Linked DNA regions of Styela clava. The protein of the gene in region 1 binds, or shares a complex with, the protein of each later gene. Links are inferred from orthologs where the notes say so. Each region holds a gene or a part of one and is shown on either strand. Other genes may lie near its edges.

Region 1 (9,992 bases):
TTTCTGTTCAAACAAATAATGTATTGGTTGTCTCCTGTCTCTCTACGATAGAATAAAACATTTTTGACAGTTTTAAGTTTTCTCAATTAGCATATCTTGTTTGATAGAATGTTAACTTTACTTACTTCAAGGCCCCTGTATTCTGTGGTATTCGTATATACATCTGGACTTGGACTAATAGGTTGTTCTTGAACCATATCCAGGGCATATTTTGCATTAAATCTGAAGAAATCCACCAACTCCGGACCGGCATCAATCTCTGCTTGTATGATACTTTTACCCTGGAAAATGAATTCATAAATAAAAAGTAAGCTAATCTATAATCAAATATAAAAGTGAATTTGGGTTATGTTAATTAATTAATTGACATTAGTCGGTATTTGTGTCTTCGTTTATACATTTCCAAGGGATAACCTCTGTTGGCTGTGATCTCTCACCCATTTATTGTTAGTGTACTTATCGGACCAAAAAACCTTTATACCCAAGTTTTTTGACAAAAACTTCAGTTATCTGGGATTCACTACTTCAAAGCTGTTCCCTGATTGTATAGGCATGAACTGCTTTACTAAGTCTCGTGTCAATTGGTATTTATCTATGATTTTACAATTTATTTATATCTTTCAGTATCTCCCCATAACTTCGCTCACAAACAGGGATGGCCATTTCCGAATACTAAACTATTCCGAATACATTCTAAAATAATGTTTTCGAATCTGGAATTCCGAATACATTCTAAAATCGAAAATAACACATTTTTGTTTTAGTTTATTAAAACCCACTAAATCAGGAAATAAGCATCAATAGAAATATCAGAATGAAGCCACAGACCAACAGTATATGTACACAAAGTAATTGATAGTTTATAGCTATTAATAAAAAATAATAGCAACTTGTGACACAGTCAGTTTATTAAAATTATTCACTTTGTACAAATGACCATATGAAAAGATAGCCAAGGAGTTGTCTGATGCTTTCTATCATTGGTATCATGATATTACGATAATAGTCGAGTCTATTGACAAAAATACTACTTGCATTCAGATAATTGTGTATATTTTCTGAGAGTAATTAAATTTATTGGCAATACAGGCAACAACAATCGAAAATCCATCATGCCTTTAAAAATTCTAATATTTAAGCCTTGAGTATTCTACTACCTACCAGTATATTTGTATATAAATTTATGTGAACCATATTGTTATTATGTGTAACATATAGTTGTGTTTGGAGTTGGAAATAAATTAGTAGAGAATAGATGACCACCACTGCCAGCGCGCAGCCAGGATTTTCGAAATCGGAAATTCCCATTGCCGCCTGTAAGACCCACCGCGATTCCGCACTTGTTAAAAGAGCCGTCTTGTCAGCGTATAATGATCATTCTGTTAGGTAAAATATTCAATCCATGACAACTACGAGATTCTAAAATATCTTTATATATTAATTTAATGTGTCCAACATAACTCGCGGTTGCTTCTTCTTACGTCAAAAAAAAAAAACATTACTATTCGGTCCACGGCAATCTGTGACCGAAAATTACGAGATAAACTGCCTGATGTATTTAATTTTAATATGTATTTTTGCAATCTTGCCAACTCGTTATCGCCGTTAGAAAAATCTCAAATATTTATATAAATTCATGTTAAGTGTAGAGAATAATTCATTTCATACAATGAATATACATATAAAGTTTAGCAGTAAATTAGAAATACATATTCATCGCCGCGATTATGCCACCTGTTAGAAGAGTCGACTTTTACAACAAATAATATAACAACGAATATATATTTTTCTGTTGTGCAAAGTGATGAATTCGTGACCGACACGGGCATATTTAAAATGTCTTGCTCTTATTAATTTAATTGTCTTCAATTTATCCTGCGGTTGCGTCGACAAAATAAAATCCTAACCACTCTTATATACCGTTGCAAACCACGGCCATAAAAATAAAAACGTGAGGTAAACTGTCCGATTAAGTATTGTTTTTATCCGTATTTTGCGAATTCGGCAAATATTCAGATGTACTTGTTAACAGTGACTCCGCTCGATCGAAATGCTCAGAGTAAAATATCTCAGAGTAAAATTTATTTCATCACAATAAAATTGATTGAATATACTTTAGATTAATTATATTATATACATCCTCACAACCAGGGAAAAAGTCGCGTTTCATTCAAACCTTGTATCGTGTTAACACGAAAATATTCGACGGCAATTTAAATGGATAATCAGGCAAATCCCGCCCTCAATTAGTGACGATATGTTTCTAAACGCCGACCAAACATAATGTGTGCCAGAGGCACACGAATTTTGCGATTTTCACTGCCTAGAAAAGCGTTTTTTAAATTTTCCCGGGCCTCAATAAAACTTATGTTGTTCACGGTTTTATTTTCAGTATTTTAAATTGCCGCTTTTCAATCAAAAAGTTGCGTTGTCTTTAGAAACTCGCCGCCGATGAACGTATTTACCAGATTCACAATTCCGTGCGCATACAAAAATAAAATAAATGTTATCGTTATCGTGGAACAAATTTGTGGAAAATTTTCGTTTCAGAGAAAATAACACAATCGTAAAGGCGTTTACGGGCCTAAATAACACGTTACGCTGATGAGTGATGAAAACAATCACGCGCAAGTTTTCTATCGAGAATGTTTTCATTCAACGGAAACATCTTGAAAACGGCGTCGAAAATGAGTGACGTCACACAAATATCCGATATTCTTATGAACTTGAATTCCGATATTCGAATGACGAGATATTCGAATACATTCGAATACTTTATTCGAATTGGCCATCCCTGCTCACAAAGATCAAATTCTATGACTAATGAAAATCTGTTGAATATAAATCATGTTACCTGTCCCGCCATTGTAGTAGCCAACACTTCTGCTCTTTTTTCTCCAGCAATTTTATCTGCTGCTTTCAAAAATATTTGAACCCTATCTTCAACTGGTTTTCTTTCCCATTCAGCCCGAACAGAAAGACAGTTTTCAATAGCTTTGTTTATGAGGTCAGAAGAAGCATAACAAAACTTTGCTATCTTTTGCTTGTGGTTATACGGCTGTAGAAAAACATAGACAAAATATGGTATAATGGTATATCTAGATATTAAAAAAATTATGTCAAATATGAAATAGCGATGAAAATAAAGCAAATGTATTCTGAAAGTATCCAACACATTTACATAACCTAACGCTGATTCGCTGAACATAAATAAAAAAAATTAAACAAAAGTGTGCACAGTTTATAATGAATAATCCCATCAAAGTGAAAATCAGACATAACAATAGATTTTATCTTCGTTATCTTTTCCCTGCTTTCTTTACAGTGCAAACCAGAAGGATAGGTTAGGATTTCACGGACTTAATCATAAGGCATACCACAGCCTCTCATCCAGTTACCAGTCTATATCGGGTATGGAATTAGTTAGCCAGATATTTATGAACTATTATTATGAACTTGAGCGAGTGGATGGTTGGAACATGAACCACCTTGAGGTGAGTCTAGCAATCCTCTCACATATAATCATCCCCTACAGGATTCAACTCATGTAAAGTAACGGGAAGTGCGATGGCAAGTGTATTCCTAACAGTTGGTGCAATTCGAACTTACCGAGACTTGATAATGAATGTCGTTTGTTTTAACATGTTCACCGCCAATAACAATAGGTATGTCTTCAACACGAGATTCAACTAATTTCAAAGCATCCAAAACATCTTGTCTTTCTTTTGATCCAGGAGTAAAGTCATAAATCGGTTCATTCTGAACTGATAGACTTCTCGCAGTTATTTGTAACCTTTCAAAAAGGAAAAGATTTTGAATAAAATGCTTAGCAAATATTTTGTATTGACCATTGCTGTATTAAAAAGTAAAATGTCAAGTATTGCCCTACTACTGTACAAACATTATTTAAGGATTGAACTATACACTCAATTATATCAGTATCAATTGGAAATAAACAGTAAAACATGTTTGGTTATAAATTCCGGGAGAAAGACCAGCAGCTATGAGAACTCAGGAATTGTTCTGTAACAACAAAAAATCTGCAGATACAGAGATATCTAATCTATCTGCACATAATTTAAATTTAGGAACTCGTACAAAGAAATTGACCAACTTGCTAAAGCACAAACAGTGGGAAATAGCATGAAAAAGACCATGGGATAACATTTTTTATATCTTTCGGTGAATATCTGTATATAGAAAAGTTGATGCAACAGCTTAATTCAGTAAGTACAGGTACCAAAAAAGCCGATACCTAACAGCTTTTACCAGAATGTAATAAATTGAGTACACAATGCCAGTCCTTCAGGTTTAGCAACTGTATGAAGTACGGTATCAGTGGCTACCGTAACTATCTGACTATCAACCGTAATAGAGTCCTTCAAACTATGCAAACTATCATCCAAGACACGCAAACAAGAACCCGAAATCGAACAGCAATTTCTCTCGTTTTCTAGTCGCAACGATCCCGATAGGAGAGACATTGCTAACGTTAGTCAGTTCTCTATCGTCGGCGCCGATGCCATTTCGGGCAATCGTACGAGTATTTGGCAAGCTCTATGATGTGATTTTGACGTCGCAGTGACGTAATTTTTGGATGGCGTAGTCAGGTTAGGGTCTCATGTAGTTTCGTACCTAACGTACTTCTAGTAGGCGTAGCATAACAATTTTCTCATGTGTTAATCGTAACCCCCACCTGACCACACCATCCAAAAATTACGTCACTACGACGTCACAGTGACGTAATAGAGCTCTTCAAACTATGCGAACTGTCATCCAAGACGCGCAGACGAGAACCCGAAATCGAACAGCCATTTCTCTCGTCGCAACGATCCTGATAGGAGAGAGATCGCTGACGTTAGTCAGTTCTTTATCGTCGGCACCGATGCTATTTCGGGCGATCGTACGAGTATTTGGCAAGCTCTATGACGTGATTGTGACGTTGTAGTGATGTAATTTTCGGATGGCGTAGTCAGGTGAGGGTCAGGATTGGCATGTCAAAAAATTGTTATGCTACGCCTACTAAAAGTACGTTAGGTACGAGTACGAAACTACACGAGACCCGCTCTGAGTGCAGGAGTGAAGCACTGGAACACTTCTCTCTTTATAGCAAATTTTTGGAAGCCTCAAAGTATATGTATTGATATTAAAAATTACGCACCTGTGTTGCTTTAACCCGGTAAATATTATCCTTCTTCCAGAAGACAACATTGCGCTATTCTGAATGCCGTACAGTTTAAACAAAACGTGTTGCACCGCGAACTGCTACACTCAAATGCAGATTCGGTCAATCCGCAAGGAAATCCGCTGTGTTGACAGTCCGTAGGTTTGGCTTTTCGCAGCCAATCAAATAATAGAAACGCGGAACGCCCATTTATCGGATCTGCTTCAACTGGGCCTCCCCCTCCTTTATGGGCCACAGGAATATTTTTAGGTGGGTTAGGAATCTATTAATAATTTGATTGTAGTAGCAATGAATTATCCTGCTGTTTTTTGCTACAGAGTGGTAGTTTTTATTCAAAGTAAGTGTCTATTTTGTTTTGTTTAGAACTTTTGTTTTTCTCGTACTTTTTCCTTTTAAAAAAATTTGGTGCAACTTAAATGCGTAACGAGAGAAAAAAAAACTGGCTCACTGGCTCGGACAGATTTTCTTGGACCAATGCCGGAGGTACTAATTATTTGACATGGAAACTTATAAAGATATTTTACAGCCACCAACAAAAAATTGAACCAATTGGCTTGGTTTAAAAATTACATACATTTGAATCATTTGTCGTGTATTCCAATTTTAGAAAAAATGTCAAAAATATTATTCCGCATGATGGTGCACAGGATTTTTGTTCCCATCTGTACTTTGGAGGATTATCACAAAATATTACGAGTTATGAATGTTGGTCGTACCGTCCAGTGGTTTTAATTAAGATGGATTATAGCCTAGTGAGATAAAAAAGTTTTTTCAGTTGTATTAAAAATAAACAATTGCGAGTTAAAAAATATTTATAAAACATGTATTTTACTAGAACTAAATAATCAGTGTTTTTCACATTTATCATTAATTGAACGTAATGCAGTCATACTTCTTCTGTGTACTGCAAGATATAAAATATGGTTAGAAAGTAATGCAGTTATTTTTGAAAATGTTAATCCAAGTGTAAATAGTGTCATAACAAGAATTAGAAAATCCCTTTTAGCAAGGAGAAATATAGAACAACTTAGACATAATCCTAGTTTTATAAAAGAACTAGACATAATTTGTAAGATTCTATGACTAATTGTATAAATTTTTATTTTTCTGCTATAAATTAAAAACATATAAATTAATGTATATTTACTGATAAACATGGGAAACTTTATCTGGAATCAACAATGGAATAATATGAATTGCTGGATAATACTGGATGATGTTTACGAATATATTTGTTTATTATATGTAACTATGTTCTATGATTATTATTTTTTCATCATTTATTTATTTTTACAAAACTGTTATGAATCCACAACGTGGACCTTTAAAAAAAAAAAAAAAAAGAGATAAAGAAGTTAGTGTTTTACAAAACTCGAATAGAATAGAAGACTTCAGTTTATACATATGTACTTAATTATTTGATTTGTTTGCAGGTCAAAAAATTATGCAGGTGTCAGTTCACACCGTTTTCAAAAATGTAGTTCTTAATGCTTGGAAAGAAAGATGGAGTGAACAGAAATGGACTTCAACAATGAGAAAATTACTACAGCCAGGGAATGTTGTTGACATGTTTCATATGGCTGATGTTCTCTTCTCTCAAGCATTCATCGGAAGCACACCTAATACAGTTCTTCTTAGTTATTTTAATTACGGACTCAAATCGGGGACTTTGTCTTATGCAGCTATATTGACTGCCATTTCTAAACATGAGGATCTTCAAAACACTGCTAGCATGGATTATACTTTGAATATACTCATGAAATATATAGAAAAACTAAACAAGGGACAAATTCTAGAAGACAGCATGGGCCTGTGCAAAGCTTTGCTTGTGATTTTGCAATGGCTTTTGAGAAATATTGAACAATATTTAAAAAGGGGTTCAGGAACTTCTGGAGTTGAAGCTGAGAATTTGCAAATTCAGAAAAACTGCTCAACTTTGCATTCCTTAACTACATTACCGAGAACTGCATCTCTTCTGACTATTGCAAGATTTGAGGAGAGCAGTGTTTGGAGCCATATTGAAACTGATCTCGCTGTAATTAAAAATGCTGCTGTTGGACATAACATGCAAAATGATGTTAATGTATCATGTAATAGTGTATCTCAACTTGCTCGCTGTAATACAAAAACATCTGCAGTATTCTGTTTGCCAAAAATACAAGGAAATGAATCTCATCATGGCATGTTGGTGAATATGTTTATCCTCCTAGAAGGTGAATGGAATAAAATGACTGATCCTGATACTTTAATTCAACAATTGCTGTTGCTCTCTCAACTTTGTGATCTCAATGTTTCAGAACTGTGTCTGGACTTGATACGAGCCTGTATGATGGGATTCTTAGGCAGCATTGATGGAGATAGGAAACACAAATGGTCATCTGTACTTTTTCTTTCACTTCCCCAACATCTTAAAAGACTTAAATCTGCTATTGTGTCAGGAAATGGTTCAGATTTTAAAAAGCTGTCTTTAGAAACAGATTTTGAAGATGCGACGGCAAGTGCTTTTTCAGAATTATTGCAATATGACAGTCTTCTAGATGTGTTAGACCAAATTACTGGAAATTGTGATTGCCTAAGTTGGCTCATTGATCGTTGCCTATCTTTCGGCATATTAAAAGAAGATGCTGCAACAGAGCTGAAAACACGAAGACTCAGCATGGCCAAAGTTTCATCACAGCATCCAACACACGCAGTAGAACCGAGCAAATTGATAAAATACGAGGCAACTGCCCGTCAGTTACTTTCAGTCATAGACACTTCTGCTGATTATATTTCTAAACAAGAAAATTTGCTTGCTACATTGAGTCAAATGTCAAGTAACTTTAATATTATCTTGGCAAGTGGCTCAATCACACACAATGTACAAAAGTTTGCTAAAAAATTAATATTGTTTAATGATGTTGTGAAATCCAGCACTGCCGAAGGCGGTAAAAGTGCACAAATGAGATGTCTTCTTTTTGATTTTACGCATTTTCTAGTCTGCCAAATTGCTGAACAGTATGGAAAAAACGTTGTTTTAGGATCTATGGCAGACATGGATTCTAGTAAATACTTTCTATACAACTGGATATCTGTTTACTGGCCTGATGATAGAGGTCAAATATTGAGAAATAGTAAAAGCGAACTTGATGTTGATGACTCTCGTATTAAAATGTATCTTGAATTGTTACAAAACAAAAGGGAACGAACTCAAGAACAATCGTGCAGTATAAAAAAATGGCATGAGATGTGCACCAATTTGCCAAGAGCATTCATCGAATTGGTAAAGGCATGGCAGTACAAAGTTGTGAGCAAAGCAGATGTGTTGGGTGCCTGTGATGTCATATGTAATATATTATCATTGTCTATCAGACTGACTTGTCTTGTTGAAGTAGCCAAATATGCTTCAACCGTTCCAAAACTATTCTGGAAGGAATTGAAAGAAGTCGTTGAAAAACTTTCAACGCATGGATTTATATCGCCACCCGGTCAAGAAATACATGCAGCAAAACGTACAAACATGTTTAAAGGTATATTGGAAGTGTTGATGCCAAATTCAAACCTACCTGGTGCACAGGATAACGAGCCTGTGAAATTTCCAGCTGATGTTCTTTCCGATTTAATAACAGAGTGCAGAGAGACAGGCTGGATAGGAAGAAATATGCTCTGTCGACTTGAAGCTGTTTTGAAGCGGTCCGGTGCCAAATGGTTTTGCCATCAACTTGTTTCACAGTTGTTGTCACAAACTCGCAAAGATATTGTTGAACGAACAGCTACTGTTGTGGGTGGAATATTTTTGTTAGATGTTGAGAGTTTTGTCATTTGCTTGTTAAGACACGAAATTCCGCACTATTTGACTGATGAAGCTGATCACATGATTCTCTCTGCTCCTGCAGGAAATGTTTTAGCACAGCTTGCTGTTAGCTGTCTTGCTATAGTTCTTCATAATATATCTTTACAACAAAAAGCTTGCCTTTCACAAAAAACAGCAAAAGAAAAGCTATCGCATCAACTTCTAATGTCTGGAAAAGAGTCATTGGCTTCTCATCAAGTACATTTCCAAGATGAAGTCGGACCCACTAAGTTGCGAAGACTTTTCAGTTCGACTGCAGAGCATGATTTGGCAGCAAGTGCGTTTTCATCTATACTTGGCCGCGAAAATTCTGCCACAGCTCAGTCTAAGCATTCTCATGTAAGAGAACCAGTATTGAGAGCACTTAGTTACGCATTAGATATTATGAATATGTCGCTTGCTGAACGACAACCCGGTCCTCATATTGACTTTGCAGTTTACTTCGTATATCTGGCATCACTGTGTGGCGAATTGGTTTCTCAAGCTGTTTTGCAGCTGATGCCATTAACCATGGTCACAGAACTGGCTGCTATGGCTAGTGATGGCACTTTCAAAATTTCCAAGTTTGATAAAGAATTTGATAGTTTTAATTTTGTGTTATCTGTATCTGACCTTGGCCACACTTTCAGCAGAAAAGTGGCTGCAAAGGCAATTTGTCAAATGGTTCTTCCCGAATAAGTCGATCATGTTGGAACATGCTCTTTAAAATATATATGATATCAAAGAATATAAATGGCTTGTGTTTCGAGAGTATATCTGGTTTCAAGCCCTAAATCTCAGCGCAGTTTAAAATATTTGACATGTCATCCCAATTTGAATAGATTTTACATATTTATCCCGGGGAGAGAAAGCCGGTTGGACCATGACCTCCCATCCGTTTACCAGTCCATGTCCGGGATCTTGCATCTAGCATTGTTACTTATCGATCTCTAGATCGGCAAGTATGTTGATAGGTATTTGTCTGTTAGATGCACG
Region 2 (10,727 bases), on another chromosome or scaffold:
ATTTTGGATGAATTATGTCGTATAATTAGCGAGTTATTAATTAATTAGTGATGAAGTAATGAAGAGATCTGGATTTTTATAAAGCGAGAGATTTTCGAGACGCGTTGAATGTGTGTGTGCATATCCGATGCGCAAGTTTTCACGCTAGTGAGTCAGAGCGAAGGATACACACCGCTACATCGTGTCTCGTGATTAATCTTTAAGCATTGTCCATATCTCTCTTGTAACTTTGACGTCGTCGCGATGCGCAAGTTTCCTTCGAGAAATTTCCCACGCTATTGAGTCAGAGCGAAGGATACACGCCGCGAGATCGTATCTCGTTACTTATAATTACTCTTTAAAGTTTAAGCAATGTCCATATCCCTCTCAGGTTCGGGGTTGCAGGATTCCTCACCAAAATATCGCTAGGCTGTGTTTGAATAGCCGTCGCAACCCGGGTTAGCGCCGTTGTATTTGACACAAAATATAGGATTGGTAAACAATCCAGTTCGGATTTGCAGAATTCTTCATAAAAGTATTTCCTCGAGTAGTATTTCGACGACGACATGGGGAGTTGGCTATTGTTCCTACATTTTTGATATTGGCTGAAAACTATTCAAAACAATCCAGTTCGGGTTTGCAGAATTTTTCGAATTGAAACCGCAGTTTCTGTTTTGGGGGATCCCCTATCTTTCGAACAATAAGTCTTCGGTCTCTGACCGATATAATAAGTTTGAGTCAAACTGTTACATTTAAGGCAGGGTTGAGCAACCTGCAGCTGGCGGGCCAAATGCGGCCCCCAAGGAAAAATCGTACAGCCCAAGGAGAAGTGGGAATTTTTGAATTTTTGTGCGACCCGCGAAACGAGTTTCTAAATCAGTAGTTCCAATCCCTCTACTTGAGTTCAATGTATTATCTACGCCCATGACTTTACAATACCCTAACAGCTAGCTTGTGCAAAGCGAACAATGCATATCATAAGATAAATACCCAAAATTTTTGTGCTGCAACTACTAGAAAACAGATGTTAAATAAAGGTGCGGCCGCAGTTTCATCGAGTTATTTCTATCTGGCCCTCCTTTAAGAAAGGTTGCACACCCCTGATCCATGACATAATTGCATAATGCAGAATATAGAAAATTTATGCATTAACATATCTGTATTTCAATGACTAGCTTGTGATCTCAAACAAATGCAAACTTAAGTTTAATTGGTTTTGAGTGATGTTTTATAACCAGCTTAGGTCTACAGTAACAAGTTTTCATAATATGCAGCCATATTTATAGAAAATGCATATATATGTCGTCAATCATAGCACCAAATGAATATTATTTTCACCAATATCTGCATTTGAAATTTCATACTTTTTTAAAATTAATAATGGAATTTTAAATTGTACTAACCACAACACATTCAGTACTCGTTCCAGTTACAAATCGAGCGTGAGTTATACAGTTGTATTTGCCAGCAGAATCTTCGACACATTTTAGAGTAATATTGGGAAGTACATCAACCTGGGTTAAAAAATCAAAATGTTGAACTTTGCCATACATGGGTTAATACGAATCAAATTTTTCACTTAATTCACCATCAATTTTGTTTCGCAGAACTCAACAGAACACATGAACAAAACTTACTTCAAGCGATAATTTGTTTGTGTCATTGTTGTAGCGCAGCTCAATTGTCCAAAATTTTATTGGGTTGTTGACATCACAATCAGTTGCCATGACGATAATATTTCCCTGATCTACATAAAGATTATCAAAAATCAAAACACACAAAAAACATTAAAGAAGAAAATAGAGTAGATAAGAATGCTCATATTTACTTGAATATACAATATCCGCCAACATGAAATTTTCGGTGTTGCTCAGCTGCGCTTTCGCTACTATTGGTGCATCATCTTGTGTAACAGTAATACATTTTACGACTACAAGTCCAGACCCAGTAACAGAAATATACCTAAAAAAATTATTTTAGTTACATTTAGTACAAGAATTTCAGTTTATACATACTTACAAGTAATATTTCAAGAACTCACCCTTCCATTGGTTGACCACCAAGTTGTGCAAGCGATGGTCGGTGATGAGCTCTCGATATTTTTTCTTTGGGATTGTCCAACTTGTCCACGTGAAGCACAACCTAAAGCATGCGAATATAAATAAAATAATAGAGAAAGATTCTGTTATCTTCTTTATCACTTTTATTACTCTACATAGAATTTCTTAACATCAATATCACACATTACTAAATAATCTGGTTTATATATCATATAAAAAAAACGAGATCAAAATCTAAATATTTGAAATCTAATATCATTGACAGAAAAGATATATTTGAATTGTGAGAAATTTCACAACTTCACTCAAATAAATGCTTTCTGCAGTCCAGAATTACAATGTCGGGTATGAAATTAGTTAGCCAGGTATTTGTTTTCAGGAGCACGGACTTGATGATGGAGGATGCGAAACAGACCAGTGGTTACGTGTACCAGCCTACGAGGCGAGTGTCCAGCAATTCTCTCGCACATACCTATTCCCGCATGTGATTCGAACCTGCGAACTCATGCAGGGTAATCAGAGGTGCGGTGACGAGTGTATTCCTGACGCTTTTCATAATGCGTCCCACCGCTGAGCCTAAGTTATTGCTCAAATTTTGAATTGAAGTCTGAACACAATCAAATTGAAGTTGTATAATAAAGACTGAAGCTGAAAACTAATTCAAATAACTTCTGAATTAATATAAGTCTGTTTTAGAAAAAGGGATCATGTTTCAGGATTATAATATATAAGATAAAATATTTAAAAGTTGAACTGTGTGCTAGGCAGCTCCAAAAAATAACGATAGCTACGCCAAAGTACCTTTCGTCCATTCGATAGCCATGATGAGGCCAAAATATCTTCCCCTTGTAAGTCGCATCCATAAGTCGATTTTTCTTTCCAAACATTTGTCAGATGATTTGATGAAATCCATACATTGCAAAAACCAGTTGAAGTTGAGCAGAGTAACTTGTTGCCTTGTTACAGAAACAAAGATATACACGCTCAAAATGAATTAAATGCCAACTTTCTGTATCTCAAAAATGTCTGGAAAGTGTCTGTATGTTTATTTTTTTGGTACGTAACCATTTTTTGTATTTTATTGAACATGTAAATAAAACAAGACATAATTTGATTGTTACTTTCAATGAGATGAGTATATCCTTTGCTGCACTTTAACAAGTCCTTGAATATCAGGTTCAATGGAAAACGTATTTACAAGAGTTAAAAATCAGGGTAGCGAGCTGACTAGCCTAACGATATCCCGCTGCATTAGCACACACCTCAAAGATGACTCATCAAAATTATAAGAATTAATTATAAAATTATAAGCAAAATTCACGCTTGATCCTTGATCACGTGTAATAGCAAGCACTAATCATTTTCACAAAGTTGACTGCAGATGGTACCACAGTCTATCAAACGTCCCTACTGAAACACTGATTTTTTTAAAGTTTACAGTTGATGTATATTTATATGTGAATAGAAAAAAAGGTCAAAATCTAGACGATCTAATAATAGCTGAAATGTTCAATTTACCTGTTTGATTCCATTGCAAAGTTTTTACAGAAGCTTTATCGAATGATATTGTGTGGACATTCCATGGCTGATTTGGATCAATGATGCTGACATATCTTTCTGTGTATCCTGAATATGGATTATGGCATTAGCATACTATATACAGATATATTAGCAATCGGCAACCCGAGTGTTCTGAGCCGCATTCGGTTCTTTGTTCTACAAGCTCTGGCTCTTGTGAAGTGATTACAACAGTTTTTTTGTTAAAAGCACTGGAGATTCAATGCCAGAGGAGGCATAAAGCCATATAGCCCTACTCCTCACTAATTACACATCATAGCGGTTCACATAATATAACTCGCGAGTCGTAAAAATAAGTTGATGCATGTCAACAAACTTTTTTATTTATATTTTACACATTTTTTTCATTTCGCCATAAACTGCATAATTGCATCATTTGTAATCCATATAACTGTATAATGTTAGTTTCTTCTTAGTAGGAACTAAATTATTACATCATAAGTGGTTTTTGAGAGTTTTAATAGCCACTGACATTTGAATAGATGATGGGCTCCACTGATTTATTTGTTAAATATTACTATATTTTGAAAAGCTTTCATTACTGCATTCAGTTATTACAGGCATCAAGCTACAGAGCTAAGTTGGAATTCAACTCTATTTATTTTCAAGGCTTCTAAATTTTGATTTTTGAATTGACATTGTTTTGAACACTTTCAAAAACTAAAACGATACGAAAGCAACAAGCAAACTTCATTATGGCAGAAAGAAACCAACCTTTGACTACTTTTTCCCATGGATATGCCAAAAGATTATTGCATGACCATGTTGCAGATATGGGACTAGAACTACTGGAGTGGCCGAGAGATTGAACTGATGACTTTGCATTTGAACTAATCCGATAAACAAGCTCCATTTTCTTGTTGTTTATACAGATAACAAGCTAGGCTACGACTGCGAGCAAACGACTACATTGAAAGGGGATTCCCCGTCGGCCAGGATCTTAGATTAAGCCCACCGCACAAAGCGCTATATAATTTTAGGAATCCACTTGCACAGGTCACGTGACTCTGTTACTGGACGGCAATAAAACAAAAACGTCCATTTGGCTCCTGTCAGTCGCAAGTCGGATTATACGTTTCCGTTTTGTTTGGCTGTTGAAAATGGTTATTTCGTATTGTACCGTTGGCTGTACGTATAGTATAGACAACGAAATGGATCTTCAGTTATATTCCACTGATTTCAAAAGATCCGGAACGTCGCGCAATGTGGATATCATCTGTTGCCTGATTGCCTATTGCATTGGCAGAAAAGCTTGGTGTCAAGTCCAGAAGCCATCTTACATGTGTTTCACTGTTCGCGGACAGCACTTCGTTGATGGTGAGTGATAATGGGGTGATAGTGTGTCGTTATCAATTTCTTTAAATATTCACAAGCTCCCTCATTTCAATGGAAAGCAGATGACAAACTACTGTTATTAGTAGGCCTACTTGCAGTTGCAGACTTAACTTGTGTAAGACAGTAAGGAATTAATAATCAATTGCTATAGGGTATTGTTTCCCTAATTAGCAGGTAATCTATTACTAAGTGTGAAAGGTTGAATAAATAACTAAAGTTTAACAACAGTGGTCATGCAAAAAATAACCAGAATTCAATTGAATTCGCCATCTAGGAATACGCTCGCCACCGCATTTCTGATCACCCTGAGAGTTTCACAGGTTTCAATTACAGAGAGGATGCGAGAGGATTGTATCTCTACTCCCACCGAGGGTGGTTCACATGACCACTGATCGGTTACGACCATTCCCCACCATCCAAGTCCATGCTTCTGAAAACAAATCCATCGTGCTCAGATTCGACTGTTTTCAATGACTGAAGGCTCCAACAGCCTTATTTTATGGGTACACAAGAGAATTTTCAGTGTGGCATGCATGGGTCAGTTGGAGCAATGACATTAAACAACATGATGCGCAACTCCGGCATTTTTGGCCGAAGATCGTATTCGATAGCACGCTCCAATGCACATACTTGACGAGACGAAAACGAGCGGATGTGTGTTGCTTTCAAGGCATAGCACGAATGGTGTTCGAGCCTGCTTCGACAATTGTTGTGGTTTTTAATGATATGTGGAAAATTGAAGGTAAAAAGAAATCGGAAAAAAGTAAGGTAAATACTATTGTTGTATATCACACCCGGGCATCGCACTGTTAAGTACATGCGGGAAAGCCAGCTTTTGTCAAATACTACGAAGTTTATAATTCAGTACGGTACGTAGTTGGCCATCTGCCGAAATTGCATATTTACTTACCCCTTATGGTTTCAAATAGTTCATGCACCTCCATTTAGATTTTTTTAATCAGTGAGGATATATACTTATTGCTGTAACATACTATTGCTCATTCACTTTTATTTGCGTATTGAATCAACGGGTTAACAACTTCACCTAAAATTTCACTCATACCGGTCTATATTGTATAGTCTGATCTCTCAAGTATTTGGAGCCACGAATGCTTATAATTTTCTGACTAAACCCCTTCATTAGTTGGTTTATATACCAAATCCAGTAAAACATTTTTTACAAAAAACATAAGATATTGGGTTTATTAGCTTTTCCATTCTGAATCATATAGACTGCTTTATTTATTCTTAACGAAAATTAATACATCTCCTCTCCTACAGATGTGAAAGTTGTGGACAGACCTGTCTAAGCATTGTGAGACTCCTGCAGCACAAGAGGCAATAGCAATAATAGTGAGTATATCAATCAAGAAATTAGGCCGACATAAAACAAAACTTTCAACTATTCGTCTAACCTCAATTTCCTATTATTTATTCACAGGACAACTGTAGCTGAAGGGGAGATATCAGAAGTCTGGCGACATATCAGTGACAGTTTGATTCCAAGAAATATGATTAGAATACTCCATAAATGTTTGCAATAGAAGAACAACCTATGGAGGAATGCAAAGACATTTGACCCTCCGGTAAAGTTGTGTATGGCCCCTACATCCTGCAGGGCTTGAGGGAAATAACTAAAAATTCCAGATTGCATAAGCGGTCTCCTTTGTAAAAAGGCACAAAACATGCCAGACATACTTAAAACAGCTTTGAAAAATGAGGATTACGGTTCACTGACTACACCTGTGTTATATTTGGTTCATCAAATTTTGGTAGTACTATAGAAGAAATTCAGGAAAGGGTATAATCATGATTCATGATAAAATAATGTTATATATTTTAGACAACTTTAATCTAGACCAGGGATGTCAAACTCGCGGCCCCAGAGAACTTCCAGTGCGGCCCTCGAACGCTTAACAATAATTGTAATAGTATTTTGGAATTTTCAAACCTTTTAAAGTGAAATTGAATATTCACACAGAAAACAATTTACTGAAAGTAGTTTTAGAAAGTTAATTTTTTTTTGTTCACATTTTGACTCAATTAAGAATACACATCAAGCTAGCAAAAGAATACTGAATAAAACACTTGAGTGATTAAATTAAAGTACACGAAGAAGGTGGCATTTTCGAAGAAAATGGGAGTTGCAATATTTCTGCATTTCACAAAATTCTGAAGCACATTGTTAAATTTGTCATATTTCCATCAGTACAATGAAAAAACACAATAAGCTCAGCAGTCAATATGACAAATTCGAAGACCAACTCCGAACAGAAAATTTCCATGTGTTTGTATATTAATATAAATATACAACGACTTAGTTACTAAAAATCAATATCAATAATATTTCAAGCAATCCTATGCCATGCAATGTAGCGTGAAATGTCTTGTCGAAAAAATCTGTCATTTTTATTTTTACTGATCCATACATGAAATGATAAAAGTAACTTTTTTGCATTACTGGAATTAATTAAACTTTTGCAAAGATACAGATTAACCCATGATCATGTGACCTCGTTAGTTAGAGTTGGTACTATAAAATCATTTCAGCCTGGCCTTAGTATGCTGGTGACACAAAGAAGATGCCAAACGTCAGGACAAATGTAATTAAAAAAACATTGAGTTTATACTGTAGTATTTTTGTTAATTTTAGGTTCATATATTTAGATTAAGTCATTTTTAGTGTATATTTTATTCTTTCCTTAACCAAGGCTTGTTCAAAAATGATTTTGATGGTTGTACATGGAATTTTATGATTTTTTGTAATAAATACAGTAACTTGCAATAATAGTTGAATGCAAATAATAATATGTAATTGCATTTGAAATTAAAGAAAATAATAAAACTTAATCCAACTGATTAGTTGCATCACAATATATGTCACAAACTAAAACTATCTGAAAAATATCTCTCGAGTATACATTATCAAAAACTGTTTGCGGCCCTTTTTACAATTTCCAACATGCAATGCGGCTCTCGAAACCCATGAGTTTGACACCACTGATCTATTCTAGACGATTCAAGCATTCCTTTGGGAAATAATATCACTTCAATTAAATTGAAAAAAAATCTCGCTATATTAAATACAAAACCGTTGCTATCATAAAGGTAAACCAATTCAGCCACTCGGAATATATTGGCCTTCACAAAGCAATGGAGGCAGAATTGAGAGTTCATGAGCTATGAACTTTTGTTCTTTTCTTTGTCTTCAACTTTTCATACTCCACAGCCTCTCTTAATTTTTTTTTTAATTTTAATTACCATGTGATGGTCATACATACTGTATCTTTGTATTTTCTGTCATGATGTATTATCTCAATGTGTCAAACTTTTAATTAGTGTGTATATTTTGCTTTCAGATGACATGAATGTATTGTCTTGCTTATTACCTCAGCTTGGAGTATTGACAAGAAAAAAGTGCCCGTAAATTACGTAAAAAATGTTGAACTCTTTGATATAATCAGAATTCACATTTAATAGGAATTATAAACAGCCAACAATCAATGAGAATTATATATATGCAAAATTCCTCAGATTGAATTTGTCTTCTAAAATCGGAGGAAGGCAAAACATATAGGTAGTCTCCATTCACACAAGTCTTTCAAGAAGACTTGCTCGAGACAAACTAATTGAGCATCGTCAGGTGATTGGTAAGGCTGCAAGTTGAATCAGCCCTGCAATCTCCTGCATAGAAGATAATATTAATTAGCGGGCTATGAGCTAAATTCCTAAATTTAGACACAAACCTATCTACGAGGCATTATGTACCAGTAATGTTACCTACGATTAACTGAATATGTTATATGTCTAATAAATTCACCTACTAAAACAAGTTCGATAGGTGCAAACTTTGTGTTATGGAATTGTATCACAGCACCTTTAAGAGAAGTAAAAACAGTTTTGCTGTTTTGTATGACACCCTCTTTAAATGAAATTTCAATGTTTAAGCGCAAACATTAAAATTACTAACTTTGAACTTTGTCATTATCTGCAAAATGTTTCACACAAATCTTTACGCTATCGCGTTTGTAATATTCTCTGATAAAAAAAACGTCTATGATGTTCAGAATTACTCTTTACAGCTTGTCTGCCATTCCAGCTTTCCAAATGAGCAAAACTTCTCAGATATAGAGATTATTTTCTTTCGTTACAGGCGCAAAAAGGCAGGTACTACACGTAAAGAAGACGCCGAGTAGCAAAAGCAAGCGGAAAACCGTCGCGAAAGGCGACGAGAAATATGTGCATTGGAGCGTATCATGAAATACAATCTTTCGCATGTAGTCTTATAGAGTGACGTCAGAGTTGCCTATCATGTGGTTTAATGTCATTGGTTGGAGTCACTAACCTCAAGATATCTATAAGCAAGGATAAGATAACCTGGAAGTAACATTCCATAATTTAGAGTAAAAAATGTATCTGACTCCACAGCCCTTTCAAATGGCAGATATGATGCCTCGGGGGTAATTTCTATCAAATATTTTACAGTATTATGGTTCTAGTTAAAAGGGGTGTAGGCGGCTTTGTATAGGTCTAGTCGAAAGACACATTAAATGTTTATGCAAACAACTGCAAATTAATATTGCAACGCATACAAGTTAACAGAATTTGTTGAAATGGTCCTGCCTTTTGCCTTTCTTTAAAATCCCCCTTTTTCTAACTATTCTCTTCCTCTCTGGGGATGGCAAAAATTCCAATATCGATGGGACATATAAGCAGCTGATAATGGGTTATCTTCCCTTTTTCCTGAAAATAAATCAACACTAATCATCATTTGACAGTGCCAAGTTTGTGTATCTGATCAGTAATAAATTACCTGCTAACTAACAAAACAATCAGACAACACCTTCTGACAATTAATGAAAATTTCTTTCAATTTAAAACGCAACTATGCCTACCAATATGGGTAGTTTTCAGGACAGAATTTATCTGTGGTTGGGGACAGATTGCAAGGTGCAACATCGTACGATTACCATTCTATGTCGGGATTAGTTAGCCAGTTATTTGTTTTAGAATCCTATACTTGATGGCGGGGGATGTCGTAATCGACCAACGGTCGTGTGAACCCTCAGTGGGAAGAGAGCTGCAATCCCCTCGCACATAACTATCCCCGCATGGGATTGGAACCAGTGAAACTCCCTGGGGGATCAGAGATGCGGTGGCGAGCGTATACTTAGATTGAGAATTCAATTGAATTCTGGTTATTTTTTTTATTAGCACTGGCGTTAAACTTTAGTTATCTATTCAACTTTTTACACTTACTGATAAATTACCTGCTAACTAGGAAAACAAAACCTTATGGCAATTATTGATTAATACCTTACACGAGTCACGTCTGCAAGTAGGCCTACGCCTAGACCTACCAATAACAGTAGTTTGTTATCTGCTTTCCATTGAAATGAGGGAGCTTATGAATATTTAAAAATTTGATAACGGCACATGATGACTCACCATCAACGAAGTGCTGTCCGCAAACAGTGAAACACAAGTGAGATGGCTTCTGGACTTGACACCAAGCAGTCCTGCCAACAGATGATATTCACATTGCGCGACGTTCCGGATCTTTTTTGAAAACAGTGGAATATAACTGAAGATCTATTTCGTTTTCTATACTATGCGTACAGCCAACGGAACAATACGAAATAACCATTTTCAACAGCCAAACAAAACGGAAACGTATAATCCGACTTGCAACTGACAGGAGCCAAATGGACGTTTTTGTTTTATTGTCGTCCAGTAACAAAGTCACGTGACCCGTGCAAGTCTTCTATAGCAATG

The links.
Region 2: the proteins of mediator of RNA polymerase II transcription subunit 24-like (region 1) and mediator of RNA polymerase II transcription subunit 16-like are in contact, whole or in part, in a cryo-EM structure (PDB 7EMF), measured with the Homo sapiens proteins. The link is inferred for Styela clava from reciprocal best matches to the Homo sapiens genes MED24 and MED16. Residues at the interface, in NP_055630.2 of Homo sapiens: Ile539, Leu540, Asn541, His544, Pro545, Glu593, Arg629, Met630, Leu631, Gly632, Leu633, Asp634, Glu635, Asp676, Gln679, Gln680, Thr681, Ala682, Pro702, Pro703, Lys704, Arg705, Pro706, Ile707, Lys708, Glu709, His737, Met738, Gly739, Gly740; in NP_005472.2 of Homo sapiens: His29, Cys30, Pro31, Ser32, Arg52, Asp54, Asp55, Gln56, Glu82, Asp102, Val126, Glu127, Gly128, Asp129, Pro130, Val184, Ser185, Leu187, Thr203, Glu204, Ser205, Cys207, Arg208, Leu209, Arg210, Gly211, Arg212, Asp232, Gly233, Ser234.

The regions. Positions count from the first base shown.
Region 1 is NC_135252.1:17,332,694-17,342,685, forward strand, and holds mediator of RNA polymerase II transcription subunit 24-like, read left to right. Parts: upstream 1-5,334; 5' UTR 5,335-5,434; intron 5,435-6,618; 5' UTR 6,619-6,629; coding exon 6,630-9,695; 3' UTR 9,696-9,750; downstream 9,751-9,992. Other genes in the region: delta-1-pyrroline-5-carboxylate dehydrogenase, mitochondrial-like, read right to left, coding at 126-281, 2,855-3,058, 3,610-3,793, 5,162-5,211. UniProt on the Homo sapiens protein: Component of the Mediator complex, a coactivator involved in the regulated transcription of nearly all RNA polymerase II-dependent genes.
Region 2 is NC_135264.1:6,222,966-6,233,692, reverse strand, and holds the start of mediator of RNA polymerase II transcription subunit 16-like, read right to left. Parts: upstream 4,549-10,727; 5' UTR 4,471-4,548; coding exon 4,332-4,470; intron 3,666-4,331; coding exon 3,558-3,665; intron 2,996-3,557; coding exon 2,841-2,995; intron 2,122-2,840; coding exon 2,021-2,121; intron 1,942-2,020; coding exon 1,808-1,941; intron 1,727-1,807; coding exon 1,617-1,726; intron 1,494-1,616; coding exon 1,383-1,493; intron 1-1,382. UniProt on the Homo sapiens protein: Component of the Mediator complex, a coactivator involved in the regulated transcription of nearly all RNA polymerase II-dependent genes.